Rattus norvegicus: one gene and its partners. The protein of the gene in region 3 interacts with the protein of the main gene of each other region in a biochemical or structural test. Links are inferred from orthologs where the notes say so. Each region holds a gene or a part of one and is shown on either strand. Other genes may lie near its edges.

Region 1 (7,559 bases), on a different chromosome or scaffold from region 3:
TTATCCCCTGAGACTTATTAGCACATACTGTAATAAAGAGGGACTGTGTGAGGGCAGAAATACCATTAAAATCTGGCTTGCCCAGGATATACAGAATGGTCATGGCCCATAGTATGGGGCATGTACAGTGCCAGGTACTTATGGGGAGCCTCCTGCTTGGTGAGCCTGTCTTTAAAGTTTGGAGAGAAAAAGGAAATCCCCTGCCTGTCTATGCTTGTCTTTGCAAACTTTGATTAAAATAACTGTACTAGAAGTCTACTGTCTAACTCATTTCTTGTCTTATAAGAAGGGATCTTTGTAAGTATTTTTTTTTAATTATACTTTCATGTTGAGAGTGATGAGGACTCCTCAGGGGGTCTTTAAGCTGCAGATTTTCAATCTGGCTGAGCTTTATTAAAAGGCTGCCTTCCTGTTTACTGCTGGGTAACTTTCAGGAACCCTAATGTAACTTTTGCAGTATTTGCTAACTCCCTTCTCCACATGCAGCTTTATTTAGAATGTTATAAAACTGGCTACAAATGTAAAGAGAGAAGAAAGAAATGTAAGCGCTCCTGGGGGAGGTACAAGAATACGTGGATGTATTTCTGCTCTAAATATTGTTTTATAACACTCATGCTTTGCTATCAAGTTCTATGCTCTGCCTTCCTCACTCTGCTGAGAGAGAAAGCAAGAGAATCCCCATCGAAAGAGTTCATTGAAGACAGAACTTTATTTAAATGCTATCAAGTTAAGGGGAAAGTGCCATTTTTCCCCTCTGCAAGTATGTATTTCTAGCATTTTTGTAACCCAATTTCAGCCTAGGTTGATGTAACAAAACTTTAGCAACCCTGGTCCCTGAAAGGAGGTGTTTATCTCCTTTCAAAGATGTAGCTAAACACAATTGTGTGATTTTTTTTTTCTGTCACATTATTGCCAGTTTTGAGGAGCAAGCCACCTGTCTGGTCCAAGGTCACTGAGAACACATTGAATGACTTGGACACATGGTCAGGAAGTAGGAACAGTTCTTCAGTCTGATACCACTCCAGTGCAGCCATCTAACAGCTCAGAAGTAGATAATCCATGGCTCTGACTGGAATGGCTTCCACAAGACCTTCAGTGGAAAAAATTAAGCGAGTCCAGATGAAAGCTCTGGTTTAGAATGGATCTTTACCCAAAACTATGACAAAGAGTAGTTTCTTAGTCTGACCTGTAATCCAGAGTTACATGTGCCCAGCTAGTAAGTTTTCTTGCTTACAATCTTCCACCATTGTCTATGGTGTGCAGAAAAGCTTGCATTATTTTGTGTACTCCCTACACATGTCATTACGGTTAGACATTGTGCAATGTCTCCCTTTGATGCCAGTCTAATATAAGGCAGAAGATAATTCATAACTTAGTGGCTTCCAGGTGTAAATGGAAAATGTTGCTCGTCAAAACAACATTCTTATTCTGAACTGCTTTGCCATGGTTTAAATGGAAACAAGGCTCCCAGTCTCTAAGATTTTGTGCTTACAAAGTATATTGTCCATTGACTCCACATCTGTGTGTTAGACAAATGATACCATTCTATAAGGAAATGAAGCATTGTGGGGTTGTTAGCCAGCCTGCGACAGAATATCTGTCATTTCTCCTTAACTTTGCAAAAGTAGTTAATAAGAAAGGGGAGGCATGAAGCACAAATGCCTTCTTCATCATTTAAAGGTAAAACGTTTGTGAATAGTCGGTGATTGTCAGGAACATCCATAGGCTATACCTGGGTGCTTCTTTTTAAACCTGATTTATGAGTCTGGTGTTCATGGGGCTTCTGAAGAATGCCTTGTGCACATGCTCAGACCTGTGGCACTAGTGGCCTGTGTTGTGACTTCGTGAGTGGGTTGGAATGATTATATGAACTAAGTCTAATGGAAGCTGAATAACAAGGACAACATCCAGAGAGATCAAAGACACCAACAGAAGTCATTCATAGGGAGCTGATGAATGAATGGCAACAAAATAAAGGGAAGGTGTGGAAGACAGAAGAGGCTATACATGCTTGTGAAAGGCTACCATGTCATTAATGCTTTCTAATTACATTGTTTCTACACTAAGAGTAAACTCAGGTCACTCTGCCTTAGAATCCTCCAATGACTTCTCATTACATTTGGGATAGACTTTGAACTCCTGACTAATGTGTGTGTGTGTGTGTGTGTGTGTGTGTGTGTGTGTGTGTGTGTGTGAGTTTGGGTATGTGTGAATGTGTATGTACACACATTTATGTAATATATACATATATGTACATATACACATACATATATATGCCTTCTGCCAACCTTGTTAAACTTCAATTCGCTTCCTACCATTTGTCATTTATCTATAGAATAGCCAGTTGGCCCACTTTACTCAGAACCCGGGACCTTCTTAGGATGCTAGACTTTTACTTAAAATATGGAGCATCCTTGACAATCTGGCAGGAATGGTCACCCTCTCCTCCAGGCACATAGATCCTGTCATTGCCTGAAACATCTTCCCAAAATGCTTTCTACCTGAGCAAACTGTCAAATCTGTTTTGTAAGAGCATAATTATTTAGTTGTTGAATTTACTGAGAGAAACAGCGGCCCTCCATGTACTACTGATAACTCCGAAGGAAGTGCCCACCTTAGCTGGGCGTCCTCGAGACTTTCCTCTTTAAACCACAGCATGGTTTGTGACCCCAAGGAAAGTTTTCTAATGGTCACGTGAGCAGCTTCCCTTCCTAGTAAAGCCATGGGCCATGGAACATGGCTCTGATCCAGCAGTTCCTTCCCTACCCTGGAGCTCTGTGATCAGTGTGCAAGAGAGATGTGCATATGCTTGTTGCACATTTATGAGCAGATGAGTGTGGCAGAGGAGAGAGTGTACAGTTTAGTATTTTGATGAAAAAGTAAAAGTGGCTTCCAAATATCACTGAAATGATGTGAAAAGACATTTGATACTGCTTAGAAAGGCAGTGTGCTTCTGTCATATACACGTAATAGCAAGGATAGAAATGGCTGTAAGTTAAAATGTAGTGGCATTCCACACAGGTTTGTTTGGGGTGGGTGGGTGAGGGAACACCCTCATAGAAGCTGGGGGAGATATGGGGAAGGGGAAACCAGGAAAGGGGATGGCATTTGAAATGTAAATAAAAAATATCCAATAAAGAAAAACAAAAAACAAAAACAAAAGATTGGTAACTTAACTAGTCAATCTTGAGCATCGGAAGATTAATCCTGTGCGTGTACTAAACACTGTGCCGATCATCATCTTGTCAGTCCTGAAGACCAGAAAGGAGCAAACTGTTCCAACTCCCTGGATAGAAAAGTTGTCCCTCATATTTTACAAAATACAAATATAGTCCCTAAGAGAAGTAAGTCGTTTCCCTAAGATCTCATTCCTTGCAATGTTAATGTCTCCGTATAAAAACTTGCATTAAGGGGGCAAGACGTTCAGTTTAAACAGGAAATGATTTATAATTTAAACATCGTCTAAGCAGGGTGCGCGTGCGCGCACACACACACACACACACACACACACACACACACACACACACACACACACACACACACTATTGTTATACCATGATGCTGGCTTTCAGTTTTTGTTCTTTAGGAAACACATTGGCACTGTCTCTCAAATCTGATCCTGTCCCTGGTGATAATTTAACACAACAAAGATGCGAAAGAGGCCTTTAGAAAATTTGCAGAAACCCAAGAAATAAGAGTTGGGGTTATGGATGGGGATTTAGCTCAGTAGTAGAGCGCTTGCCTAGCAAGCGCAAGGTCCTGGGTTCGGTCCCCAGCTCTGAAAAAGAAAGAAAGAAAGAAGGAAAGAAAGAAAGAAAGAGAAAGAAGAAAAGAAAGAAAGAAAGAAAGAAAGAAAAAAAGAAAAAAAGAAAAAAAGAGTTGGGGTTATCCCCAACTTTATGCACCATGATGCTTTTGTGGTTTTAAAACCTCGTGTTATCATCTTCTATGAATCTATTGCCATGCTCCAAGTTGCCTTCTTAAATTTTGCCCTAGCATCAATGTTCTAGAAGTTGTACCCGTCCCCCAGCCAACCTCTTTTAACTAGGGATAAAATATTGCTTATCTAGCCATGATCATCTCTGAAAAAGTCACTTGCTTATTTCTAGTAACTTGTTCTTTCTGAAGCCTAAAGACTGTAGTCTAAAACTGGCGACTGGTAATGAATATGTATTTTAAGTCATCGAATTACAAATAACGAACATTAATATGTATGACTTCAGAATCCAAGTACCCAGTGATAATGATTACATATTCAATTCACTGATACCTATTTAACTGATACATTAATAACTTTCCGGCTGATTTTGGATTTCATAACCACAGTACCAGCCATCCTCCACTCTCTGTATCTTCCTAGCAACCATCCCAGTGGCAAGACCAGAAATGTCACTAGAGTCCGTTTTCCTTTGGACACCTTGTTCACTTTGATCCCTCTCCAAAAATACTAAAATGTATTTCATCTCCCATCACTCTCCTCTGACACTCTAGACATGGTTTTTACATGTCTTAAATGTTTCCCACCAGGTACTTTGCAGGCAACCAGAGCCTTGATGGTAATTGGCATCCTGCTGGGGCTGATCGCAATCTTTGTGTCCACCATTGGCATGAAGTGCATGAGGTGCTTAGAAGATGATGAAGTGCAAAAGATGTGGATGGCTGTCATCGGGGGCATAATATTTGTAATTTCAGGTAAGAGAGGCTCCTCCTTCTCCCTTGTCTGCTTTTCTCAAGTGTGGTTTGAAATCTAGCTTTCTGATTTTTAGTTTCTTTGGTTTGTATTTGAATCACCGAATCTGAAAATTTCTCAAGTATTTTAATATCTGAAGACATGAGCCTTACAGTCAGTTGGCTTTCGTCTTCTCAGTTAGAACCAATGGAAATTAGACCTCTGTACACTTCTGTCAAGGACAACCATGAAGGATTCAGGTGCCTACTAGATTCTTGGCCCAGTCTATTCAGACTAAGAAAGATTTTTTTTTATACTTTGCAAAAGAGTCTGGATCAATTTGATGTGATTCAGAAAATGCTATTTGGTTGTAATGGTGCCTGGCTGTGATCCTAGCATAAGAAAGGTGAAGACAGGGAATGTAGAGTTCAAGGCCAGCCTCAAGAAAATATACATAACATGTGGATGTTATTGGTTTGGGATTGGAGCTAGTGGAGAAAGCTGGGGGGAGGTAACATTGTAGATGGACAGAGTAATTTCACAATAAACACTATGTACCCATGGACCAGAGAAAAGGTACGTCAGTGGGGTACTGATGGGATATTAACAAGGTAGGATGTAAAGTCAGCTGAGCTAAGGAAGAAAACAGTACAGAAGGATTGGAAAGCTTCAGACGAAATAAGCCAGGTGTCGCGCAGAAAACACATATTACAAAAATGGCATCAAAGGCTATAGTCTCTTACAACACCCATCCCTGTGCTTTCCATAAGTGCTGTAGACATACATGTGTCCCAGTTCAAGCTGGGATGGTTTCAGAAATCTAGGTGACCGGTTCAAGAGCACGTGCATGATCAATTTGCACGGTCAACCTGGATGATCTTACATACTGTCAAGTACTATAAAAGAAGTTATTTGTTTTCTTTTTAAATTTGTTTCAGATTTGACAGTTTTCCACGCATTTTTTATATAAATTATATATAATTGCTCGGATACTGTTTTTCTGGTAATAACACTTTACATCCACTCTCTGGCATTTTTTATTGTTTTTTTGGGGGGAGGTAGTTTTAAGATAGGGTTTCTCTGTATAGCTCTGGATGTCCTAGAACTCAGTCTGTATTCCAGGCTTGCTTTGAACTTACACAGAACAGCTCGTCTCTGTCTCCCAAGTGCTGGGATTAAAAGTGTGGGGCACCACTGCCTGCCTTCTTTCTAGCATTACTTAGTCACCATATTGTACAAGAAAGCTCTTGATCTTAATCTTACATTCTCCTTGAAAGTTTGAATCTTTGGACAAACATCTCTTTGGATAAAAATAAACGTTATAATTTAGGCATCAGAGAGATGTTGACTGAGTGATGACGACCAACTCATTTCCTTTCATTTATTGAATACAAAAATACCATGCGCGATTGAGTTCGGCTACATAAGTCAACCCAGAGTGTCACCTCAGCAGATGATCCCAGTAGTAAGGATTGCCTTAGACCCGGGGAAAGAGGAATCTGAATGCTCTGCGCCCTATGCTAGTTAGCCAGCTCTGGTTTTGCTGCTAGAGAGGAAAGTAAAATCTGATTTTGAGTTTGTCAAGAAGAATGTAGGAAGATTTTCATCTTACATTTGGTAAGCAGTTCTCTGCTGATATAAACATTTATTTTTTTTCAAAAGTAGTTTCATACACTAAACTACAGTCCTGCAAACCACTGGCCAAGATTTTGAATAAGATGGATCTATCCGGCTCCTTCTGAGTAACAGTTTTTGTGCCAGTGGCCTTGGACTATAAATAAATAAGATGTCATAAACAGTATAATCTAGGCCCAACTTCAGTCTAATGTCTTTGTAACTCCTTGCAGAATGGTTGGCATAAATCATATCTAAGTCAAATTGATTTCCATAATAATAAAATAAAATGTCAGCACTGTTGATGAGATTCAATTCTTATAGAATACAATTAGGTTTAATAGTCCTTGTTTTTGTGCTTAGTTTTCCTCAGTGATTAATGGTCTTGCTTTGAATTTCTGCAGGTCTGGCGACATTAGTGGCCACAGCATGGTATGGAAATAGAATTGTTCAAGAATTCTATGACCCCATGACCCCTGTCAATGCCAGGTAATTCTAGTCATGCATAAAATAGTTCATTCTCTGAAAAAAACCAATCCTTTCTGTGTTCTGCAGACTCCTGCCAGTGCCTTAGTTTCTCAGAATTGCTTTCAAGAATTGTATGGAAATTTATGTCAAACTTGCAAACAATTTAAATGACCTGTGACTCATGTTAAAATGAATTGGATAATTGCTTTAACAGCTAGGACCGATGACAAAATGCACTTCAAAGGAGAAATGTTCTAAGCTGGATGCTAGCCAGCAATATATCACAGCTTTTATTTATTCCCCAATATGAACAAAAACGCTAACGCGTTGGCCATGTTCTTCCTGAACTGTATTCTGATGTTTCTATATCTAATACCTGTGATTGTTCCAAACTAATATACAGATTCAGGACTTATGGGAAAAAACCTGTACCACCATAGTGGTCAAGAACAATGCTTCATTCCCCGTAATTTCCACATGAAGCCAGAATATATTTTTCTAGTACACTTAAAAGCCACTTTAAAATTTTGGGTTCCATTACAGCTCTGAAATGGACTTGACAAAGGTCACCTTTCTTAACAGTTCAAGTTTTACAAGTTCAGGACCTGAGTAACAATGTTCTTTGACCAGCGACAAGACTTACTGTCTCACTGTCTTCCCATCTTTAAAGCTTAATAACTACATTCAATGCTAGAATGTGAGGACATAATTACTGTTTGTGAGTGCCAGGGTGAGTGAATGGAAGAAGTTGCAGTGTTTGCAGAGGTAAGTGCGTGCCTTTTTGTACAGTCACCCACATACGGAACAC
Region 2 (8,313 bases), on a different chromosome or scaffold from region 3:
CGCTCCCCTCCTGAGCGCCACCACTCCTAGCTAGTTACAAAGTCTTTTATTAGTAGTGCATGTGGTGCATGTCCATGAATGCTCACGGACCGTGGACACAGGGGACAGGTTTCCGTTGCTTCTCTCCTTCATGGTGGGCAGTTCAATGAATTCTCCCTGGCTTCCTCCTCCCCCGGGTCAGTGTGAGCTCCATTGTGCCCCACGGCCTTTGCACAGGCCACGCCTCCTTCCTCCACTGAATCTTCCTGGCCCTCTGGCTCCCTCACCTTACTGTCCGGACCTAGATCCCTACCTCTCCTTTGCCCGCTGGCGCAGCCTTTTTTGTCCCTTCTCTTCAGAGCAGGGCCTGCTCCTCCCTCCTTGAAGACCCAGCAGTGTACACCATTGGAGTTGGAGCATTCCTGAATTCCGGTCAGACCTGTCCTGCCACACCTGAGGGGACATCACACCCTTCAGTGACCCCCGACTCCACCCCATCCCACAACCTCAAGCCCTGCCCTTCGCGCATGCCTCAGTTTCCCCAGATGTATGAGAATAGGCAAGCAGAGTCGTAGTTTCCCATTCTATACGCCCTTTCTGGCCTGCAGACATTGCCCTTTCCCGGCTGGCATCGGTACTGCAGCCCTGGGATGCACGCCTGTCTGGGATGCATCTGCTTCACCGCCTGTGCTCGCCCACCCCTAGGGGCGGTTGGAGAGTTTCTTTAATTCATAATCTCTAAACAAGTATTTATTCGTGTGTGCATACGTGCATATGCCGTAGCGTGAGGAGGTCAGAACTCATGCGGATTGGTGCTTTCTATTCTGTGCGGTCTGGGGACCGCACTCAGGACAGCAAGCCCCCCTCCCTAACAACTGTTTCACAGGACACTGAACAAGGTAGTCCTCAGGATTGGTCCCAGGTACTATGGAGGTTGAGGCAGGAGGATTGTGAGTTCCAGGACAGCTTAGGCTACAGGTGAGGCCCAGCCTCAGAACAACAGCAGAACCTGACCTAGGTGGTCTCCTTTAATCTCTGGAATCAGGTGCAACTTCCAGATGGGAAACTGAGGCACAGTAGCTTACAAATAGACAAACCACTTCGGTGCCCTTTTTAGTCCACCTACCCACTCTGCCATGCAGAACCTAGGATTTCGTTACCTATAACGAAATACTACCCACGGAGTAGGTAGTAACTCCCCGAGGGCACACAGAGAACAGGCAAAAGACCTGAGATTGAACCCACAACCTAAGGGTCTGAGAACACACGTTTTTCCTCTTAGCACGAAGTGTGTTGGTGAGTGGGAGGAAATGTGGGGACAGGACTGTCGCCGTGGGCCCCCAGGTGCACAAGTGTTCACTGTGTAGCCCTGGCTGTCCCGGAACTCACTCTGTGCACCTTGAACTAACAAGCATCCACCTGTCTCTCCCTTCCAAATGCCGGGGCTAAAGGCAGCACCAAGACAGTGCAAAGACTTTGACTAGATTGTCTTGGCCAACTCTTTTTCTTTTCTTTTTTTTTTTTTTTTTTTTTTTTTCCGGAGCTGGGGACCGAACCCAGGGCAAGTGCTAGGCAAGCGCTCTACCACTGAGCTAAATCCCCAGCCCCTTCTTGGCCAACTCTTGATTAGCCTTCAGAACCGCTCCAGCATGCCCATTCCAGAACTCTAATTTAGACACTCCCTCACTCCCTCTAGCTGTGAGGTGACAACTGGAGGCTGCTACTAAGCCCTTTGACCTTGGGTTAGGCTGCAGATCAATATTTACTAGTGAGGAATGTATGGGTGGAGCCAGTACTAGTCCGGCCTATTGAGGTGACTTCCTCCCACCTTGTGCCCAAGCCTAAGCTAGTCTGACTGGACCTTTCTACAGCTAACCCTCAATGGCAGGCCCTTAGAGGGAAGCAGTCTGAGTTTGATATATGAACCTGCTTGACCCGGGGTTGGGGATTTAGCTCAGTGGTAGAGCGCTTGCCTAGCAAGCGCAAGGCCCTGGGTTCGGTCCCCAGCTCTGAAAAAAAGAAAAGAAAAAGAAATAAAAATAAAAAAAAAAAATGAACCTGCTTGACCCGGGAAAGGCCAGGAACACTACTGGTTATGTTTTTGAGGAAGGGTCTCACTGTAGCCCAGGCTGGCCCAGACCTCACTATGCAGACTGGGGCTTGCCCCAAACTCAGAGATCCTCCTACTTCTGCCTCCCGAGTGCTGGGATTAAGGCTAGAAAACCGCTTTTTTTTGGGGGGGGGGGCGGGAGGACGCGTTTACTTTTTTTTTATTTTAACATTTATTTATTACACCAGAAGAGGGCATCGGACCCCATTACAGATGGTTGTGAGCCACCATGTGGTCTCTGGGAATTGAACTCAGGACCTCTGGAAGAGCAGTCAGTGCTCTTAACCTCTGAGCCATCTCTCCCCCTACCCCTCACCTCGTTTGCTCTTGTTTCTTGTGTTTGGTGTTCTGCGGATGGCTGTGAGCCATGTGGATGCAGTTCCCACGGAGGCTGCCAGGGATATCGGATCTCTGGGGCGGGCCACACAGAAGCTTGAGCAGCTACCTCTGGGTGCAGGGATTTGAACTCAGGTTCTTACACTTTCATAGCAAACCTTCCAATGCAGACACAGATCGTTCTCGTCTGGGCAAACTCTTAACCCACCTTCAGAACCCTCCCTGCAGCGCCCCTCCCTGCTCACCACACATTTGCCTCTTTGCCTTCTCACCACCTTCGCCTCCTCCCGATCCCTCGCAAAGCTTCTAACCCGCGGGCCGCCCGGGCGAACCTCGATGTGTGTTGGTACGTGGGAAGAGAAACGTCTCAGACCCGGTACTCCGTTCCTCCTGGCCGTGACCGCTCCGGGTTTTCCCGGCAGCCTCGCCCATGCGGTCCGCTACCCGGGCTGCCGGGCTCAGCCCGGCTTTGCGGGAAACCAGGACAGGATCGCGCTTGTCCGGATCGGATCGCGGCAGGGCCGGCGGCCGCTTCCCAGAGGCGTGCCGGACTGGGGCGGGGCGGCCTCCGACTTGAAGGAGGAAGAGCAGGTGCAGCCCGGAGCCGCTGGCAGAGCCGGAGAAAGGCGGGAGCGCGGCCCGGACCCCGCCGCCACCACCTCCGGCCCAAAGTGGGGGTCGGTTGTTTCCAGGCGCCTCCAGGTCCAAGGTGGGGGCTGCCCTACCGTTTCCAGGACGCCTGTTGTACACCATGGCGGTGAGATTCCAGGCGAGTTGTGCCGGGCGCGGGGAACCGGTAGTGGTCGGATGAGAATGGGACCCAGGCTTTCAAAACCCTGTCCACCTGCCTAACAGGCGGGAAAACTGAGGCCCGGAGAGGCGCGGTGGCTAGCCTACGGGTACATGGCGAGATAAATCTGTGAATTAGCCCCAAGAGCCACCTCTTGGAGCTTCCTCAGTTGCCCCACCCCACTCCCACTGAGACACTGAGGCCGCCCGTGTGTGATCTTGAAAATGAGTAGCTGTGTTTTGTTTCGTTTCTTGGCCGCTAGCATTTATTGAGCACCTACTGTGTGCAAAGAGGTCAAGGAGCCTGGCGGGTCGGATGACTGTAGCCAGTTCTGGGGACCAGGAGGAATTTTGTTCTTCTGGCGTGGAGCCCAAACTCCTACACAGGAAGAGTAAACTGAGACCTGTCTGCTGGGTCACACTCCAAGCTTTACGTCTTCGAGGTTTACTGCCAGTTTAGGAAGAAGAGGAATGACCTTCCCCCGGCCCCGCCGACAGACCTGTCTACAACCCCTCCCTACATCCCGTGCGCCTGGCCTAAGGGGAGGAGGGGCGGGTGGGGAGCCAGTGCCCCCGGGCGCATGGCTTATCTTACCCGGTCCCTTCCAGTTCGCAGGTGGCAGAGGCGGGGCCAGGCGCTCACCTGGAGGGGCGGGGCTGAGGGGCTTGGATCTAACATTTTAAACCCGCCCTCTGGTGGTTTTCAAGCTCTCCCAAAGCTCCTCACTGGGGACAGGATAAGGTCCCTAGAACCCCCATCCCAGACTACCCGGAGGGCTCAGACACAGGGAACTCTACGGAGGAAACGAGATGAGACTGTGATACCCCAGATTCCAAGGGAAGGGGGCGCCAGATGTGTACGTTGGATGGCACCTAAGCCTAGGGGCTCTAAAGGCTGAATAGGAGTTTGCCAAGGACTAAAGCTGACAGCAAGTCGCCAGGGTTGAGTGATGGAGAGGTCCGGACTTCCACAGCCAAGAGAAAGTCAGGGCCTGCGGAGCACAACTGAGAAATGCAGGAGTGGGCAGGGGTGGGGACCCAGGGGTCACATCAATCCTTAAGGCACAGGGAGTCCCAGAGGGTTTTAGACAAAGCCTGTGACCAGCCTACACCAGCTGGGACAAGCTGGGCAGGCTGGGACAAGCCTGGCCACCTGCCTCCCCTCCCCCTAAGGAGCCCAGGCACACTTGGGAAAGCCAAGAAATAAATAAAAATTTCACAGTCGAGTGCAGATAACCTTTGAGAGTGCCACCTGAAGATCTTTGCCAGGGTTTGTGGAGGTCCCCATGTGAGGAGGCTGAGGCAGGGGGATTGCCATGAGTTTATAGCTAACTTAGGCTGAGCAAGATCCCCAACCACCCAAAAGTAAACCAAAACCCAGTCATCAGAGCTGGGGGGAGGGGAACAGCTCAGCAGAGAGGGGGCCTGGCAGGTGGGGTCACATGACATTAAGAAGTCCTGAGGGTTCAGCCCTCAGGGGGGTAACCGACCATCCTTCCCAGGACTGAGAGAAGGCTCTGAAGACCTGGAAAATCTGGGCAGAAGGGAGGCTGGGATGTTGGGGAGAAGCCATGAGGCCCTTGTGCTGGAGCAAGGATAGCAAGGGGTCATAATGGGGTAAACAGGACAGAGAGGACTCTAGGGAAGACTGCGACTGTGATCCTGAGGAAGGTGGGAGCCATCGCGCCCCGAAGCTACTGAGGATGCACTGTGGAGGGTGGAGCAGGCAGTTGATGCCATGGCCTCCTCCTACCCCATGAGCCTGTCCCTGTCCCTACCAGGTGGCAGACATGGAAGAGTTGACCATCTGGGAACAGCACACAGCCACACTGTACAAGGTGAGCTGAGACCTGCCCCTCCAAAAGAGGCCCTGGGTCTGGGAAGTGTAACCCCTTGCCTGTTACCTGTGTCCCTCAGGACCCCCGCCGAGGCTTTGGCATAGCTGTGTCTGGAGGTCATGACCGAGCTGGTGGACCTGTGGTCGTGTCTGATGTGGTACCTGGAGGCCCCGCTGAGGGCAGGCTTCAGTGAGGCTCGGAGATGGCGGGTGGGAGGAGGGACAGTGGGGGAGGGGAGAAGGCACCTGGCACAGTCAGCTCTGTCAGCAGAGCCTGACTTCCTTGGCCTCATGTCCCTAACACTTCCTAGTCCCAGAGGTTGGGCAGTGCCTGAGGGCAGAATGGCAGAGAACTGAAACAGACAATCTCTGTCTGTTCTTTGAGCGCAGAGCAGTTTTCTGAGACCTGGAGATTGAGGCTCCTGGAATCTGGGTGGAAACAAACAGGTCCTAGTAACAAGAGGGTGATAAGAAATAGAGGGGGAGAAAGAGACAGACAGAGGTGGGAGAGACATGCAGAGAGACGGGGGGGGGGGGTGTGTGAGAGACATACAGAGAGATAAAGGGGGAGAGACACTCAGAGACAGACATAGAGGGGGGAGAGACATGCAGAGAGACAGAGGGACCAAGAGATAAATATCACCTGATGGCGGGAGGGGAGGGGTGCAGTCCTGAGTCTCTCACTGGAGCCACTCCCTCAGGACTGGGGACCACATCGTCATGGTGAATGGTGTCTCTGTGGAGAATGTCACATCTGCTTTTGCCATCCAGATCCTTAAGACCTGCACCAAAACAGCCAACATTGTAAGTGAACAAAGGCAGGGAAACCTTTATTATAAGTACACAGACACACCGGAAGAGGGCATCGGATCCCATTACAAATGGTTATAAGTGATGTGGTTGCTGGGATTTAAACTCAGGACCTCTGGAAGAGCAGTCAGTGCTCCTAACCTCTGAGCCATCGCTATAGCCCCTGGGGAAACTGAGTTCTAATCCAATAAGGCAGGTGATCCTGTGATATTGGAGATGGAACTACACACTTCTTTTAGAATTTTGTTTTCTGGGGGTGCTAGGGCTGGAACGCAGGACACTTAGCCTGTGCTCCACCCTGACCACGCCCCCACACCCTCACTGGGGGGATTCTAGGCGGGGCTCCACTCTTGACCACGCCCCCACACCCTCACTGGGATATTCTAAGCCTGGCTCTACTCTGGCCTCCTTCCCACATCCTCGCAGGGGGTTTTAATGCGGGCTCCGCCCTGACCACGCCCCACACCCTCACTGAGCTATTGTAGGTGGGTCCAGCTCTTTTTTTTTTTTTTTTTTGGTTCTTTTTTTCGGAGCTGGGGACCGAACCCCAGGGCCTTGCGCTTCCTAGGCAAGCGCTCTACCACTGAGCTAAATCCCCAACCCCTCCAGCTCTCTTTTTCTTTTTCTTTTTCTTTTTTTTTTTTTCTTTTTTTCGGAGCTGGGGACCGAACCCAGGGCCTTGCGCTTGCTAGGCAAGTGCTCTACCGCTGAGCTAAATCCCCAACCCCTCTTTCCCTCTTTTTATTTTTCTTAGTCTCACTCCATATTCCTGGTTGATCTTTATTTTTTCTTTCCTTTTTTTTTTTTTTTTTTCCGGAGCTGGGGACCGAACCCAGGGCCTTGCGCTTGCTAGGCAAGTGCTCTACCGCTGAGCTAAATCCCCAACCCCTATTTTTTCTTTAATGATCTATTTTATGTATGTGGGCGTTTTGTCTACATCTATCTGCGCTCCAAAAGAGATTATCTAATGTCGGGAGTTACCGACAGTTGGGAGCCACACGTGGGTGCTGGGAATCGAATTTAGGACCTCTGAAAAAGCAGCCTGTGATCTTAATGACTGTGCTATCTCTCCAACCCCGATATTTAATTTTTGATCCCGCAGTGGGGATCTCAACCCCTGTATAGTTGGAACTACTGAGCATTCTGGGATAGTTTCACTTCCCAGCGGAATCAGACTGTAGGACCTCCTGGTTTGGCTGCTGTGCTGGATGTGTGGTCCATAGTTGTGCTCCTGTCCGGACGCCTGCCTCTGAAGTCACATACTGGCCCTTTGGTGTTGGAAGCCAGAGAGGCGCTGAATCCCCTGGGGTTTTTCTGTGGGTGGGGTGATCTCTCCCCTCTTCCTGCCTCTTCTGACATAACTCCTTCTGACTGACAGACAGTGAAGCGTCCCCGAAGGGTCCAACTGCCTGCCACCAAGGCTAGCCCAGCTTCTGGCCACCAGCTCTCAGACCAGGAGGAAGCTGACCATGGCCGGGGCTATGAGGGGGACTCCTCCAGTGGCTCAGGTCGATCTTGGGGTGAGCGTTCTCGCCGGTCCAGGGCTGGTCGCCGCGTCAGGATGGGCAGCCATGGGCGCCGGAGCTCTTGTGGAGGTTCTGAGGCCAATGGTCTGGACCTGGTATCTGGCTACAAGCGCTTGCCTAAGCAGGATGTGCTAATGAGACCGCTAAAGTCCGTGCTGGTGAAACGAAGAAACAGCGAAGGTGAGTCAGGCAGGGGGTGTGGTCAGGAGTGGAATGTGTGTCTCCCCCTCCCTAGAATCCCCAGTGAAAGGACTGGGGGCGTGGTCAGGGTGGCGCCCTGCCTAGAATTCCCCCCATGAGGGACTGGGGTCGTGATCAGAAGTGGAACACTCGCCTAGATTGGTGGCTGAAGCAGGAGGATTGCAAATTACTTCAAAGCCAGCTCGAATGATCTTGGCCTCCCAGCCGAGGAGCCCTGCCTCAGTTTCCCTCCTCTACCTTCCAGAGTTTGGAGTGAAGCTAGGCAGTCAGATCTTCATAAAACACATCACAGAGTCCGGCCTCGCTGCTCGGAACCGTGGGCTGCAGGAGGGAGACCTTATCTTACAGGTGAGCCCAGGCCCTTGCTTAAGTGGGGAAACTGAGGCCAAGGAAGGCAGTGTTCCCAGCCCTAGAAATTATTTCCAGTCCTCCCCTCCCACCTTGCTCCAAGTCAAATGTTTCTAGTCACCCCTCAAGCCCATATTTTCTAGACATCCTGGTCCTTTACTTGTACCCGGTTCCTTTCAGATCAACGGAGTGTCCAGTGCTAATCTATCCCTGAGTGACACACGGAGGCTCATTGAGAAGTCAGAGGGGCAGCTAACCCTGCTGGTGCTGAGGGACAGTGGGCAGTTCCTGGTGAACATCCCTCCAGCAGTGAGTGACAGCGACAGCTCCCTAATGGAAGGTGAGGAGCCCAAGGCAGGTGCAAGCCCTGTTCCTAG
Region 3 (8,050 bases):
TGAAGAAGAGGAGGAGGAGGAGGGGAGAGGGGAGAGAGGGGAGAGGGGAGAGGAGAGAAGAGAGAAGAAGAGAGAAGAGAGCTCTTGCAGGGTCTCACTATGTAGCTCTGGCTGGCCTGGAACCATCTTGAGCTCACCAAGATCTTCCTCCTAAGTTGCTAGTGTCAGAGTATTTTATCACAGCAGTAATGCAGACTTTGTCAATGAGACACACATCACTGTTAGGCCCCAACCTTTCCTTTCATGCTCATCCTCAAGATCACACATTAACCCCACAGTATAAAATATTTTACCAATTTAAAAATCCCCCCCTCTGTCTTGACAAATTCAATCTCTTTAAAAATCCAAGTCTCTCTTAAAACCTAAAATTTCTTTAAATTTAATCTCTCAACTGTAAGCTCCCGTCCAATCAAAAATATGATAAATACCCCCTTGCTTCAACAAGGCAGAACCAGGGCAGAGTCGCAATGCACACAAAGCCAAGCCAAACTCCAACTGTATAAATAATTCAGTGTCCAGTGCCTGGAATCCACTCATGATCTGCTGGTCCCTTTCCAGGCTTTGGGTCACTTCTCCAGCTCTGCCCTCTGCAGCACACACATCTTGTCTTGTAGGCTCCAGCTGACTCCACTCCGCTGCTGCTGCTGTTCTAGTGGCCATCCCATGGGACTGGCATCTCTACACTGCTGGGGTCTTCAGCTACAACTGGGCTGCACTTTCAACTAATAACCTCTGCTAGGTTCTTTTCACAGTGCCCAGGCTCAAGTTCTCTGCACGACTAGTCCTCAATCCTGGACCTTCAATGCCACTGTGGGTGCACCTTCACCAAGGTCATCTCCTTGGCATTGAGAAAACACTTCCCGAACAGTTTTAACCTTAATGATGCTGGTCTCTTCTTTATTACTGCTAATTCCTCAGCTCCAGCTAACCTGCATTAATTATCCTCGAAAGGCAAAGGTTTCACTTTACTAATTCTGGTTATCTTGTTAAACACAGCCAATTCTTCTTCACCCCCAGCTAACCAGAACCTTAGTTCAAAGTAACAAATGGCTCCTGGTAGTCTTTAAACCTCCCTGAAACTTCACAATCCAGGCCTCCTCGTTCTGCCTTGTCCTCAACATTCCTGTCTTTTAAGATCCTGCAGAACAGCTCACCACAAACTGAACACTCAGTGGCTTTTCTTACACCAATTTCTAAAGTCCTTCCACAAATCTCTCCTGAAGCAACATTGTCAGGGCTGTCGCAGCAACACCCCATTTCCGGTACCAGTTTTTTCTTAATGTGGGTTTCTATTGCTGAGATAAAACACCATGGCCAAAAAGCAAGCTGGGAAGGAAAGGGTTTAATTGGCTTACACTTCCATATTGAAGATGTTCAACACTAAAGGAAACCATGATAGGAACTCAAACAGGTCAAGAACCTGAAGGCAGGAGTTGATGCAGAAGCCATGGAGAGGTGTTGCTTACTGATTTGCTCAGCCTGCTTTTTTATGGAACCCAGGACCACCAGTCACAGTGGGTGGAGCCCTCCCTCATCAATCACTAATTAAGAAAATGCTCTAATAGCTGGATCTTATGGAGGCATTCTCTCAAGTGGGGTTCCCCCCTTTCAGCTTGTGCCAAGCTGCCCTAAGACAAGGCAGCACACATGGGAAAGTAAGCTAAGATTCCGGGGTATGTTTTCTCTGTTTTTGCTATTGTGAATGGGGTTACTTTCTTGATTTCATTCTTACCAAGCCCATTATTTGTTATCAAAAGCTATTGGGTTCCAAATTTTATTCATCTATTTTGCATTTCTTTTTGAGACAAGGTAAGTCCTGATATGTACTTCAGTAGTCCAGGCTGGCCTGAACTCACTATGTACCTTAGTCTGATTTTGAACTCACAGCAATTCTCGTGTGTGTGTGTGTGTGTGTGTGTGTGTGTGTGTGTGTGTGTGTGTGTGTGAGAGAGAGAGAGAGAGAGAGAGAGAGAGGGCATGGGGCACTGGGGGAATTTGGAGCTCAAAGAACAACTTGCTGTAGTTGGTTTGAACTTTTCACTATATGGCTTCCTGGGCTAGAACTTGAACACCGGTGATCAGGATTGGGCAGTACCTACCTTTATCTATCCCCTGAGTCATCTTGCCCAGTCATCTTTGACTTTCTATCTTTAATCTTTAGTATTTATATTTAATATTTAACATCCACAAACGACATTTTACTTGCTTGCTTATTAGTGTACCCTTTATTTCTTAGTGTTTTTTGAGACAGGGAATCGCAATACTACTTGAAACTCCAGAGCACAGGGATTAGAGGTGTGCACCAACACCCAGCATGACCCTTTGTTTGCTTCGGCTTAAGTTTCCAATAGTATGTTGAACAGGATAGGTGAAAACGGACATTTCCATTTTATTCCTTATGTGTGTGTGTGTGTGGGGGGGGGGGTTACACACCTTTTTACAAGGCCTAAAAATTTTATTTCCCTGAAATTAGCACACAGCCATAAAGTATCAAACGCATAACCGGCGAACGTCCTCATGTTGCTGTTGCTTGTATGTACTCATCTTTCGAGGATACCATTTTACCTCTCATCCCCGTCAGTCACAGAGCTTAATAGTGCACTTATTCAGTAAGATATCTGATGATTGATTCTCTTTAGCCTTGAGTAGTCTGTATTAGATAATGTAAATGCTTATCATCAACATTCTAAATAAGAAAAAAAAAAGACACTCATAATTACCCTTAGGACGATGGGGACACAGATTGACATTTAGGATATTTTACGTTGAGTCAGCGCATCTGGAAAACATAAGGGACGCAAGAAGGCTGGAACAGAGGGGCCTCGGGCTAGGCTAGGGGCTAAGTGAACTTGTCTGTTTGGGGTCTCGGTTTTGGGTCAGCGCCGGTGGCTCACAACTCCGCACCTGGCCGCAAGGCCTCAGGCCGCCTCACCAGGATTGGTAGCCCCACTCACCCCCGGAACTTTTACAGGCGCGCAGACGCCCAGGGGCTAGAGCCCCGCTCGCCCCGCCCAGCCTCTGGCGAGGTGGAGAGACGCCCAGGTGAGGAGGCCGCCACACTTCCGTCCAGGTGAGGGCAGCAGCTGTACTTCCGCCAGGTGAGGAGGCCGTGATCGCAGCCTCGGGGCTCCCACCCGGCTGTCGCCTGATCAGGTAACGCTCGCGGCGCACTGTGCGGGGGCCGCGCGGAAGCCGTGTCCCGAGCCCGCGGAGGGTGCGCTGGGCAGCTCGCAGGCCTTGGCGGCGGCCGGCGACCAGGCCAATCAGCCCCGCTCGAACTTCCAGGCCCACCCGGCCTGCGAGCTCAGCGATCGCGCGTGCTCGGGGATCTAGCTCCCGCGGCCTCCCGGAGCGGGGCGGAGCCTCTGCGCGGTTGGTGGGAGGGAGCGGAGGGAGCGGAGGGACCGACGTGACCGACGTGGCCTCGAGTGGGCCTTGCGCCCCTCCGGCCTTTCTGCTTAGCTAGGGAGGTGTCTCTCAGTCTGGGAAAGTTACTGGATTCCTCCCTGGAATCAAGTTCTGGAGAGCATTTCCACATCTTTCCCACCTTTCGAATGCCCCACCCCTCCCTGGAATCTTCCCTGGACTTGTACTTTGCCTCCTGTCGGCTCTTACCACTTCTGATTCGAATTCCTCAAGTGACTTGTTTGTCTCCGAAGTTCAGAGGCCACACCTTGCTGGGCCTGATTTCTCTAGATTGCCTCTAACTTGCATCTGACCTGTGGGCTCACCGTAGTGTCCAGCGATTGTGTTTTCAGTGAAGAAGTTTACCTAGAATAATCTCGGTTCCTTTGAGACAGCTAGACCACATTCCAGGTCTACTAGCCTTCCCCTAACTTCGAATTCACTGTTTCAAGGAGAAGCTAAGCGAATTAGCTTAGAATTAGAAAATAGGAGGTGAAGTCATGACCTTTTGCTGTTCTAAGGGCCTAACGGCTTTTGTAAGAATTAATGAAGTTTTTAAGATACTTTGAACGTTTATAAATGCAGATGTGGAGGTACCCACACTAATTTAGATGCAATTACTGGTGGTGTATAGTGGACTTGTCATCAGAAGAAGGATTTGATTTAAAATTGAGTTGTATGCTGTCACTCGAATTGAACCTAGTCTCAATAAATTCCACCTATTATTATTGTCTGGTGGTGAGGGGGATCTAATCTAGTAACACACACACACACACACACACACACACACAGACAGACACACACTCTGACTAGATGTGTCCTGTCCCCTGAGATCCCCTGCAGCCATTGAGCTTGTATGGAGTGAACATAAATTCACTGTAGGGGAAACAAGAGAATTTTCGAAAAGGGAATAAAGCAAAACAGTTGACAGGAAAATTAGAGGAGGACTTGCTGTGACGGTGGGATAAGAGGGGGGGGACAGGGGTGGGTCTGTGTGCATGTGGAAATGACCTGAAGTATCTCTCTGAAATTGTCAAAGAATTAAAAGAAGGAAAAAAGGATCTAGCAGCAACCATAAAACCCATTTCACTGATGACAAAAAGTAAACAAGTACAAGTCACACGACTCCTTTCTTCCACTTTGTAATTTTAAATATAAAAATGCCTATGTTTTCTTAAAATGAGTTCGATTTTAAAACCTTGAACTTTTGAGACAGCCCAGCATTTCCCTGTCCTTACAGCTGGGTTTAATAATCATTTGTACATCAAACAGCCAAGCAGTCTGAACTTGCTTGCTCTGTTAAAGTTTTAACAAAATCGCATTAGTTTGGGGGAAGTCACAAAAGGGGTTAGTTCCTTGAAGTCTCTTCTGGTATTGGTGCGAGCATTAAATTCTTGGAGAAAACAAGCTAGTCTCCTTTAATATTTGAAATCACATAACCAATGATACTTAATTTTTTTCTTTTTTTGTTAAAGATTTATTATATATAAGCACACCGATGCTGTCTTCAGACACACCAGAAGAGGGCATCAGATCTCATTATAGATGGTTGTGAGCCACCATGTGGTTGCTGGGGATTTGAACTCAGGACCTCTGGAAGGGCAGTCAGTGCCCTTAACCACTGAGCCATCTCTTCAGCCCCTTAATTTTTTTTCTTACACTGGGATTTTATGTAGACTTGGATGCCTTTTGGAGCTCCCTGCGTATTCTGTTGCAAATGGAAGGGAATGTAGTGCTTGCATTCGTTTGTGTGTGTTTATTGGTGCTGAGGTCGGAAAGCCAGGGCCTTGCACATGCTAAGCCCTTGCTCTACCAACAGACGATACGTTTTTAGTGAGCTGAATGGAAACTGCTGAGGACCTAGTAGAGTTTAAGGATAGGTGCTGATCTACTTCCGACCTGGAGAGTGGTCTGTGCTGGTCCTCAGTTTGGAAATGATCTGCCAGAGATTGGAAAAGGCTGAAAGGAAACAGTTCTAGGATTTGTCTTGTCTGTCGCAGCAAGCAATTGTTCCCCCACTTGCCTCTGCTCAGATGGAATCAGGAAGAACTCAAGCCTGTAAGCATTCGTATTTGAATAGTCAGAAACTGAGCCAAGAAGCAAAAGTCTTTGCTAAAAACATTGCCAAACTCTTTCTGGAAAAGTCTAGGTTAATAGGTCAGTGGTACTTGGTTGCCGAAGCACCGGCACAAGTGAAATGGGCTCTTTGGAATGACCGTAAGTGTGGAATGCACACGAGACTCTGAAGACAGTGTGAAAAAGTTTAAGCTATTCTATTTCACATTATTTGCATATTTAAGTGATGATTTGTATATATTGGATTAAGTAAGTTACATATTAAAGTTAAATTTGTCTTTTTTAAAATTATTTTTTATGTTTTTAATTTGTTTTTCTGTTTTATGTGCATTGGTGTTTTGTACACATGTGTGTAAGGTCCACTGGAACTGGAGTTATAGACAGTTGTAAGTTGCCTTGTGGGTCTTCCTGTCTCTGCCTCCTGAGTGCAGGGAATCAAAGATGTGAATACCAGTTCTCTGGAACAACAGCTAGTACTCTTAACTACTGAACTATCTCTCCAACCCTAATTTTTTTCCTTTATATGATGCTATCAGAAACATTATTGTTGTTGTTTTTTAGGTTTTGATTTTTTTTTTTTTTTCGGAGCTGAGGACCCAATCCAGGGCCTTGCGCTTGCTAGGCAAGCGCTCTACCACTGAGCTAAATCCCCAACCCCTTATGTTTTGATTTTTAAAATAGGGTTTTTCCATATAGCCCTGGCTGTCCTGGAACTCAGAGATGCGCCTGCCTCTGCCTCCTCTGAGATTAAAAGGCCTCCATCACCACTGCCTGGCCCTTTTTATTATTTTTAAATTACATGTATGTGTGGTTATGTGCAAATGCCTGTGCAGGGATACCAGAACGGAGCCTTGACATGGGCTCTGGGAACCGAATCTGGATCTTCTGTAAGAACAGTGTTCACACTTAACTGGTCAGCCATCTCTCCAGCCCTTGCAGAAATTTAAAAATTGCATTTGTGGCTCACATTCTATTTCTGAGGGAAGATACTGAGGTAAAGACTTGTGTTTGAAACAGTAGCCTCAAATTCACCCTCCTCTTGCCATAGAATGTTGGGTACAATTATATACCACCATGCTGGCTTTAAACTGGCTTAAAATCCCAATTTATAGGCTGGGCACGGTGGCACACATCTCTGGCACTGGGAAGGCAGAGACAGGAGGATATCTGAGTTCCAGGCCAGGCTGGTCTGTGTAGCTAGTTCTGTACCAACCTGGGCTACATGGTAAGACTCTGACTCAAAACAAAATGATATATAATGCCTTTTCTTGATCACTTGTTGAACACTAATTTCACTGATGAAAGGTTATATTGTTCAGTCTTTTCAGCATTGATAACATAGCAAAACCACAAACGACATTAACTTCTTTGCAGTTTCAAAATGTCATGTAATTTTGATTGAAAAGAGATGCTAACAGTAATAATCTTTGTTGAGAGTGTGTTGTGTGCTAGGGCAAATTTTATTTAGTCCTCCCAACAATTAGTTATTTTAAAAGATCCTTTTCTGAAATCTTTTTTTTTTCTTCCTCTCAAACTTTTACTAACTTTGGAAGGAAAGGGAGATGAGGTAAATGAATGATGAGGGTTAGTTAGGGTGCACCCAGCTTGAGTTCACGTTGAAATGTTTTCTTATTAGTTATTTGCCCCAGAGGTCATAAGGTGTTTCCTCCCCTATGGCTTCTATTGTTCCTCTGTTTTCATGTTTTTCCATAGCATTGTCCCCTCTCGTGTTTTAATTTAGTTTTTTGGATTTATGAACTACAGGCGATAAGACATCAGTTAGATAATGTTATACAGAATGGCTGTGTGTTGTATAGAATAGATGTCAAAATAGTTAATTCAGCAGCGACAAGTTTGTTCTCGTTCTCTCTCTCTCTCTCTCTCTCACATCTCTCTCTCTCTCACATCTCTCTCTCATTTTTCTTTTATTCTTTTTTTTTTTTTTTTTTTTGGTTCTTTTTTTCGGAGCTGGGGACCGAACCCAGGGCCTTGCGCTTCCTAGGCAAGCGCTCTACCACTGAGCTAAATCCCCAACCCCTTTTTCTTTTATTCTTTGAAGGGTTGAGATATATAGAGTCTTCCTCTGTAGCCCAAGCACTCTCAGTGTGATTTGGGTTAGCCTGACCCTCTTAGCAATCCTTCTACTTCAGCCTGCATGTGTTTGAATCAAGGAGAATAGACATTGGTGGGTAGAGTGTTCGAAACCTAAGACGGCCTTGCTTGTTAGTACACTAGCTTGTTTGGAATTTCAAAATATGGTATGACCATAATTCCTGGAGACTCGTGATGGAAACAGGAAAGCATTGAAGCGGTAGGTGTCGTTAGTGGATTCTGACCATTCAGGTCCTTTTAGTGGGGGACCGTGATTACAGCATCTATTAAAAAGGTGCCAGAGATGTAAAGTGTGGAAATTGTTGAGACTTGTTGCTGTTGTTGCTTGGGGTGGGGGGGGGAGGCTGTCATGTGCAGAATGATGCACGTATACACAGAGCAGTTTAACTTCTGCAAAATGAAACCATTTACAGAGAGATTACTGTTAGGAATTCACTCAGGAGAGTGTTTCAGTGAT
Region 4 (8,143 bases), on a different chromosome or scaffold from region 3:
CCCCCCCCCCCCCGGTGTCTTTATATTTTTTTTTCTGTCTCAGAATGTTAAAAAGCGGAGGAGAAACGAACTAACGGAGGGAGAAGAGTGAGCTCTGTGAATATTAAAAGACCCTCCTAAGGAGGAGAAGCGTGTGCTTACGTTTGGATTTCCTACCTTATTAAGTTTTAAAGTTTCATCTTGGCTTTTGTATTTAGTTTTAAAACTTAAACTTTTTTTTTACTTCTTACCGTCTGTTTTACACTACACACACCACAATAAACACTAGCTAGGATCCTAACTTAGGATTGATTTAAAATAGAAGTACTTAGGAATCTGACCAAGGGGGCGTACACTAACACTCACAAAGCACATTCTTTTCTCATGCCTTCCTCAGTCCATTGCCCTGGGCAGTAAATTGTACGGTAAAATAACCAGTTTAATACTTGCTGTTTTCTTTCGGTCTGCTGAGAAAAAGCTACATTGTTGGCAAAGTGACAGAAACTTTAAAAATGCAAGCCAGTATAACACATGTATATTTGAGGAATGTGTGTAGCAATCTACTGTTCTCTCTCTCTCTCTGTCTGTCTGTCTGTCTCTCTCTCTGTCTCTCTCTTCTTCTCCCCCTCCCTCCCCCGTCTCCTCCACCCCTGCCCCCAGTTGTTATAAACATACAAAGAATTATTGAACTTTGAAAACTGGGTTTGTGGAGAGAGACCCAAGAAAAGCAAGTAATGATTCTTTCCTTGAGCCTCCGGAAATACAAGGTTGTCGAACAACCAACTTAAAAGCACCTTTTTATTTTATTTTATTTTATTAAGGGAAAAGCAGATGTTAAGTACAAAAACTCATTGTTTGAACCTGTGCTCAGCTAATACCTTACATATTAAGATGCTTGGAAAAGTCTCCGGTTGTCCTCATATAACAGATCCTCACGAGCCCCTCCCCCATAATTTTTTCACCCATAATTTTTTTTTTTACTCTATTTATGTTTGGCCTTGACTTTTCTAACACGTATCATTCTCACCCACAGCTGAAGACACCTTTACCACATACTGTATGTAAAAGTAGCCATTTAAAGCAGGAGATCCGACTGGGCTTCATGACATGTAGTTCGGATTATATAAATACTACGGGAAGGAGGGGAAACAGGGCCCTTCTGTGTACACATCTTAGATTGCTAGCTCCCTGCCTGTGTAGAATGCTAAGCGTCCCCAAACAGGCAGGGGCGGCATTACTTCAGTGTCCTTGACTTGTGAAGCTGTAAAACCAAACCCTTTAAACCAAACGAAAGCTGATGCAAGAGGTTAGCACACTTTCTGTGCTTTCCTCTACCTGTTACTGAGGCAAGTTCGAGGGTAGAGAGGAAGACACCTAATTGCCTTGAAAGCTCAATCTAAGCATTCTTATGAACGTTTGGGAAGATAAGTAAGGATAGTTCAGGAAGGCTTTGCAAACATTCATGAATTTCATCCACTATCTACCCGTTTAAACTACTACAAACAAGCCAGAAGCAGGACTAGACCTGTTCTAAGTCTTTAGGAGTTTCTCTTACATCCCAGTCTTTCAGACTGGACGACTGAATTTTTGCCTTCTGCTTGGGTCATTGTGTCACGGTTGTAGTCTGGCTTTGTTATCTGTGGTTGAAAGACCGGTCGGTTTTACACACTGTATTTCAAGAGAAGTTAATCAAGCATCATTCTGGCTTCCAACAAGCAGGCATTGGGGGTGCAGGGGATGTCTAGAACCTTCCTGGCTTACCATAAGCCCTTACTTTCTTTGGGTATTCATGCCATGTTTTGCTTGAGTAAAGGCTAGGATACTTTCACTGCATAAATATAACTACAGCGATAATCAGGCCTTGGAATATACGACTGAAAAACACCCAGCACATTTCAGTCATCTTTCATTTATTATGGAGAGATTGAGTGGCCTCTTGCTTCCTGACGCTTTACACAGGGACTTTAAAGATGATCACTACTCCTGTAGCTATCTTTATATCGGGAAGCTCTATGTGAGGTTGAAGTTTTTATAGGGAAAGTTGTTTTAAAACAACAGTTGTCTTTAAAGGCGGGTTTGCCACAGCAAAGGTTAGGGGTTGCCAATAAACCCATTTATAGCAACTTCTGTATCCTTCACTTTCCTTACACAGATGGGTGGCCTAGGTTCAATTCCTGTTGGAATTTCCAGTTGATCCTTCTGCAAAGAAAGGGGGGTCCAAAGTGCTTTGGGAATTGAGAGGGCTGAGCCTTCTACATATAAATTGGCTGCCTGGATTGCTGGGAGGTTGTGGAGGACCCAGGTCTCCCAGTTCTCTGGGCCATTTTCAAACTTTTGTTTTGTTGGGAATAACAAAACATTTTGGGAACTAGGGGGTTTAATTTACTGCCGCCAGCCTACTTAATAATAGCATCTTTGTCTGTTCTTCCTCCAGGACTCCTCCTCCAGACAAGGAAGCTAGAAGCTGGTCAGTGGACTTAGCCCAGGCAGTACCGCCAGCCACAGAGTTCGAGGAGACAGCAGACCCCCGACCCTGGACAGTCAAATCCCAGAGCACCCGCAACCTAACAAAGGTGCAGTGGGCGAGATGCACTTTTCATCTTTCTCAGCTCATTTTGGAACAAGAAAGTGTATTTGTTTGTGTTTAGTTAAGCGAGGGGAAGAAAAGCCAACAAAGCCACCCTAAGGCATCCGCGGAAACTTCAGCTTGGCTAATTGCTCCCATATGTCCTCCTCGGATGCTTTCAGAGAGCAGCATAGACCAAGGCCGGGACACTTTACTATTTTAAACAGGCTAAAAAAGGGGGAGAGGTCTAATCACACTTCTGATCCTGTCCCACAGAGGACCAGGCGAGGCCCCAGGGGAGCAACCTCCTCCTGGGAAGCTCGGCTTCCCGCAGAGAACAAGCTGGGTGAGGAGGGGCGAAGGCGCCGAGCGGAAAGTTGGCGTGCCGCGCCCCAGCGGGTCTCAAAGCCCTGGCAGCTCGGGTCGGGAGGGGCGCGCGAGGCGCAGCCCCGGCGGGCGCGTACTGAGAAGGTGCCTTCCGGAACACGCGCAAGGGCGGGGACTCGCGCTGCCAATGAGGTCCCGGTGTGGGCCGAGCGAGGCGCGGGGACGGGCCGGAGCGCTGCCTCCGCGGTGGCAGCTGCGGGAGCCCGGCTCGGGAGCCGCAGGAGCCGCAGCCGCCGAGTGCCCAGCCCGCCGCGCTCTGAGGCCCGGCCCCCGGGGTGGGAACCGCGCCGAAAGCTGGAAACTTTCCTGGCAGGTAACTCCCGCTGTCCGGGCGCCGCTGCGGGCCTCCGGGATTCCGCAGCCGGCGGGGAAGGAAGGGTCCCGGGGAGCAGCCGGGGAAACGAGAGCGAGCCTGGTGGGAAAGTTTCGGGACGCCCCCTTCTCCGGCGGGCCCAGGGGGAGCTTTCTGGGAATCGACGCGGGCACGCCGGGGCTCCCGGCCTGGGGCGAGGCGCTGCCCGGGAGTCGGTGCAGGCCGTTTCCTGCGCTCCCGGAGGAGCGGGTTGCAGCAGAGCCGGTCTAGGGGGACACTGGGATCACGCGGCGCGCAGGACTTTCCCAGCCGCCCCTTGCCCGCCTCCTCGATCCCTTGGTTAGTCAGGGCCTGGGCTGCGTCCAACACCTGGGGGCTAGGAGTGAGGGGACTTGCAGGCGGGGCGCCTGGCACCGCGGGGTCTCGAGTGTCGCCGTGCGCGGGTCGCCAAGTTCCCGAGCGAACTTAAGCGGGGAAAATCACATCGCCCACCGTGAGCTGAAAGTGTGTGCTTCGTTCCGGCAGGCTGCGGCTCGCAGATGCAAGCCAATTTCTTTCCCTGGTGGTGGTGTTGTTGGGGTGATGATTTGGGATTAGACCTTGAGGATTTTCTTTCCCTTTTTTCTTTTAGTAGTGCCAGCTAAATGAAGGGTCCTGTCAAGTTTGCGAGTCCCCTTATCCTTGGGCGACGAGTAGTTACTTTGGAGGCATTATGGGGATTCAGGTTCTTCCTGGAAGACTTTTGGGTGTGTGTGGGGGTCCCCCGGGCTCGGCGCGGCCGCTTTCCGGAACGGCTGGCGGGGAAGGAAGCCCTGGGCATTGTGTAGCGTGTTTGCAGAAAGCAAGAGCTCAGGACTGGCGTTCCCAAAACTCACTTGACTTATTGTGTAAAGGCTCCGGGAGGAAATGCGGCTGTGGCCAGGTAAAAGAAACGCGGCGCCGCGGCCGAGCGCGGAGGACGCCGAGCTGTGACAGTCTTCAGGCTGCCTCGGCTCTGGCTTGGAAGCCCCAGATCCTTATGCCTGGAGTAGTGGAACTGGTCTGAATATAGAGTTTCCTGCAGAGTGAACTCAGGGAGGTGAGGAGGGCACCTTCATCTTGAACTTGACCCCAGGATTAGGGTCCTGGCGGGTTAAAAGGTAAAGGCAGGCAGAGTCTTAACCTGTAAAGGAGCCCAGACGCCGCTAGCTCCTGGCTCAAAATCTTTAAGGAAAGGGCTCAGGGTGTCTGAGGTCGCGAACTCTGGAAATGCCAGACTCATCAGACTACCGAAGTTAGTGTGCTGGGGGGAGGGAAGGAGAAACCTGGTTGGCTGGCACAGAGGGTTGGTTTTTTCTTTGTGGTGAAAAAGAAGGGAGTCTTGCGTCTCTGCTTACACCAGATCCGCTACTCCCCTCCACCCACAGCCCCTTCCTGGGTCATCCTTATCCTGCCAGGCTGGCACTCCTGGAATGGGGGAGGGAGGAAGAGAAGAAAGCCGTTGTGAAGTTTTTCTGGGCAGCCCGAAGGTATTTCAGATCTGCTACTGGGAAGAGTCCTGGATTTTAACAGCTGTTTTTTGATTGCTGGGAATGAAAGAATTTATGAGCGCCTGAGAGGTGCTCATTATGGTACAGTTCTGAGTGTTTTGCTCATCGGGGCTACTTAAAGAGCTCACAGGGACTTCCCTACAATCTGCAAAGTCTGTGTCAGCTGGAATGCTTGTGGGTGTCAATCAAAAAGCATCATAAATAGATCTTGGTGCTTTTACAATGAAAAGTATGCCTAGCAAAGGAAGTTTGGTGTCTGATTGCGTTCGAGACTCCTTCGTCGACCTTTCTGCTTACCAGCCAAGTTGATGATTCCAGGCTTCCCAACTACTGTGATTGGACAGCGAAGGATGGGAAATATGTCATTGATTTTGGTGGAGGTGGGAAAGTCGAGAAATAAATTGAAGGTCACTTCTATGTTTCTGTCTCCCAGTTCTGGTGCCACAAACTTTTGCTGAAACTCAAAAGGATTGATTTCTTGCTTTTTTGGTTTAACCACCAGAATGTCTAAATTATCATAATTCATGTTCATCACGGAGCTAAAACATAGCTGATTCACAGTCAGCCCTTTTTCTGCTTCCCATAGCAGCCAGAAGAACATTTTGTCTCTTTAACCACATACAATTTATTTGATGCCATAGTGGGGTTTTGGTGCCCGGTGATCGAGGACACAGTCCTAGAGACAATGGAATTGCTTTGACTAAATCATCCATTTTTAGACAACTTCTTTTCTGGGTTGCTGCTTAATTCTTTATCTCCCAGAGAACATTAAAAGCCCTGTCCCTGGGCTAGCAGAGCTATAATCCGTATTATAATGAGGTTTGCCAGAAGAGCTGGGAGGTAGTTAGGTCTGATTTCACCAGACACTTCAAACTCAATAGTAAAGATTTTATGTCTGTTAGGTCAAGAATTTCCTAGTTAGGAAAATTGGGTTAATGCTCTTGTCCAACATATATGAGGCCTTGTTGGGGGGCGAAACAAACTTTTATTTTATTTTTATCACGGAACCTTTAGTTTTAACTATGTCACCTATGGCAATAAACATGTAGAGACAAGCACACACATCTGTAAATAAATTTATAGACACACCCACAGGGGAATTGTGTTAGTCTCTAGAACGGGTTTGCTTTGACAGGGTTTCGTTTGTTTGTGTGTGTGTGTGTGAGTTTGTGAGACAGGGTCACACTATATAGGCCAGGCTGTCTTGAAACTCACTTATGTAGACCATGCTGCCCTCCAACTCACAGAGATCCGCCTGCCTCTGTTTCCCAGTGCTGGGATTAAAGGTCTGCCCCATCAAACCTGGCTCTGAACTGTCTTGTAAATACTTGTTAGTTGTAAAACTACCTCTACCCCAGTTTACAGAAGTGTTTGATCTGTAGGGCTAGTAAGTCTTTCTGGGTTTTTAGTTCTCTCACGGCCATCCCCAAAATGGAATGACATTGCAGTCCTGCGGCTTCAGGAGTTGGGGAACCCTAGGAGCTTTGGAGCCTGGGTAGAGCAGTGCAGCAGCAATCATAAAGGGCTTCACTACTTATTCTATCCCTAAACCTCTCATTTGAGCAATCCAGGGCCCAGGAAGTTAGATCAGCTTGCCTGATGTCACCTGTGACAGAGTTGAACTTGAGCCGGGCAGGTCCCTGATTCCCCATCCCGTGCCCTATATCTCTTTTGATTCACGTCAGTCACCTGTGAACTCGATAAAGCCTGACAGAAAGAATGCATGGCTGTTTCTCACAGTGCCTCATTTATGGTTATTTTGGTTCCAGAAGCCTGGGGCTTATGTCTCTGCTTTAGTAGGAAGGATTAAAGACAGCTCTTAGTAAACGGTAACTGAACATTCTCTCTGTAGGAGAGTTTGAGAAAGTCACATCCCTCCTCCTAGTCATTTGTTTACTTTCCATTTCTTAATCAAGTAGGCTTCTGGGTCTAACATGATTTATAGTTCAGATGTCTATCAACTGAAACATGAGGATGAAAACACCATTTACATGTCATCTTGGCTTTTGTCAAGCTAAGGATGAAGCCTGTCTGAATATCCCTTTCTTGGAGTCCTGCGCCCCTCCTATTGATGGGAGTATAGCCGGGTTGCGAGCCACTTTCCTTGCTACATAGGTCTTCTCTTATGCTCCTGGTTAAATGGGGGAGGGTAGTAGGTTGCCGTGATCCATTTTCACCATTTGCTGTGTTCCTGCCTGACGAGTTAGGAGTGCTAAGTGTAGCCGTACCCTGGGTCTGGAAGCTGGGCAGGATTTTTTTTTTTTTGTATTTTTGGCAGTGCTGATGGACAAACCTCGGTTTTCCAACATGATAAACACATGTTGTACCACTGAACGACAGACACCCCTTGTCTATGAGCTTTTAACACGTTCAAAAATGAAATCATATTCTAGGACACCGGCTTTTTGTTTGCAGCTTTTATTTCACTCACCATTTGGTCTTCGTGAACATGGGTGCGCATGTCACTGTGAGTGGAGGTCAGAAGACAACTTCTGGAGTTCTCTCCTTCTATCAACTGTGGGTTCTGGGAATCGAACTCAGGTTGTCAGTTCTGCACAGCAAGCCCTTTGAACCAGTGAGATAGGAACTTGTCCGTGTAAAGCATTGACTTATGGTCTTTCTGGGAGCCTAGTCTGGCTTCAGGCTGGTGATCTCCCTGCCCCAGCCTTCTGTGTGCTGAGATTGAAAGTGTGTGGCATCATTGGAGGCTTCAGACCCAGCCCTTAAAACTTACTCTCTGAGGGGTAGCGTTGGAAAGTATTTAGCAATGGTGTTTAAACTCAGAAGAAGATACATTAGTATCTGTTCACTGACTGGCCAGTCTGAGATGGTTGCCCCTTCCTGAGAAGCGAAGCAGAAGAAACAGTGGGCTGAGCAGATTTCCAGGAAGAAGGCTCTTAGCAGCATTATCTTGCCGTTAGCAAAAGGGGTTTTGGTTTCGTTTGCCTCTGTGGCTACTTTGTAGAGTGAGTGTTGTCTTTAAGGGCTTCTGTGAGGAGTGTGGGTGACGGAAGAGAATTTTCTAGAGAGAAGCATCCCACAGACACAAATGTCAAGGGCAGGACGGATGTTGCCGAGAGACAGGACACAGGCCGTGGCTTTCAGCGTGGATTCTGCCATTAGCAATGAGAGAATTTATTAGTTCCAAAGTCTCCCGGCTAATATTCATTGTAGACAGATGTGAACCAGAGTGTTCAGCCATTTAACGTAGAACCATGGTGACTCAGCACTTTCTTGCCTTACCCAGCATACCTAGGGTCACACACCTGTGGTAAATTGGCTTTCTGCCTCTGAGGTGGAGAAGAGTGGAAGAAACTGTTTAACCGTGGGTGGCCTTCTTGCACAAAGGGCACACTGAAGCAAAGACGT

The links.
Region 1: the proteins of Patj (region 3) and Cldn1 form a complex in vitro, tested with the Homo sapiens proteins (2 studies listed by BioGRID and IntAct, with this or other methods). The link is inferred for Rattus norvegicus from reciprocal best matches to the Homo sapiens genes PATJ and CLDN1.
Region 2: the proteins of Patj (region 3) and Tjp3 form a complex in vitro, tested with the Homo sapiens proteins (2 studies listed by BioGRID and IntAct, with this or other methods). The link is inferred for Rattus norvegicus from reciprocal best matches to the Homo sapiens genes PATJ and TJP3.
Region 4: the proteins of Patj (region 3) and Tanc1 interact in a test that uses a peptide from one of them, tested with the Homo sapiens proteins (2 studies listed by IntAct, with this or other methods). The link is inferred for Rattus norvegicus from reciprocal best matches to the Homo sapiens genes PATJ and TANC1.

The regions. Positions count from the first base shown.
Region 1 is NC_086029.1:87,930,587-87,938,145, forward strand, and holds part of Cldn1 (claudin-1), read left to right. Parts: intron 1-4,527; coding exon 4,528-4,692; intron 4,693-6,687; coding exon 6,688-6,772; intron 6,773-7,559.
Region 2 is NC_086025.1:9,081,392-9,089,704, forward strand, and holds the start of Tjp3 (tight junction protein ZO-3), read left to right. Parts: upstream 1-3,032; 5' UTR 3,033-3,176; coding exon 3,177-3,182; coding exon of another isoform or gene 3,183-3,194; intron 3,195-4,995; coding exon 4,996-5,052; intron 5,053-5,131; coding exon 5,132-5,241; intron 5,242-5,752; coding exon 5,753-5,855; intron 5,856-7,239; coding exon 7,240-7,567; intron 7,568-7,832; coding exon 7,833-7,936; intron 7,937-8,116; coding exon 8,117-8,276; intron 8,277-8,313. UniProt on the Homo sapiens protein: TJP1, TJP2, and TJP3 are closely related scaffolding proteins that link tight junction (TJ) transmembrane proteins such as claudins, junctional adhesion molecules, and occludin to the actin cytoskeleton.
Region 3 is NC_086023.1:118,174,545-118,182,594, forward strand, and holds the start of Patj (inaD-like protein), read left to right. Parts: upstream 1-3,078; 5' UTR 3,079-3,153; intron 3,154-8,050.
Region 4 is NC_086021.1:64,504,995-64,513,137, forward strand, and holds the start of Tanc1 (protein TANC1), read left to right. Parts: upstream 1-3,042; 5' UTR 3,043-3,245; intron 3,246-8,143. UniProt on the Homo sapiens protein: May be a scaffold component in the postsynaptic density.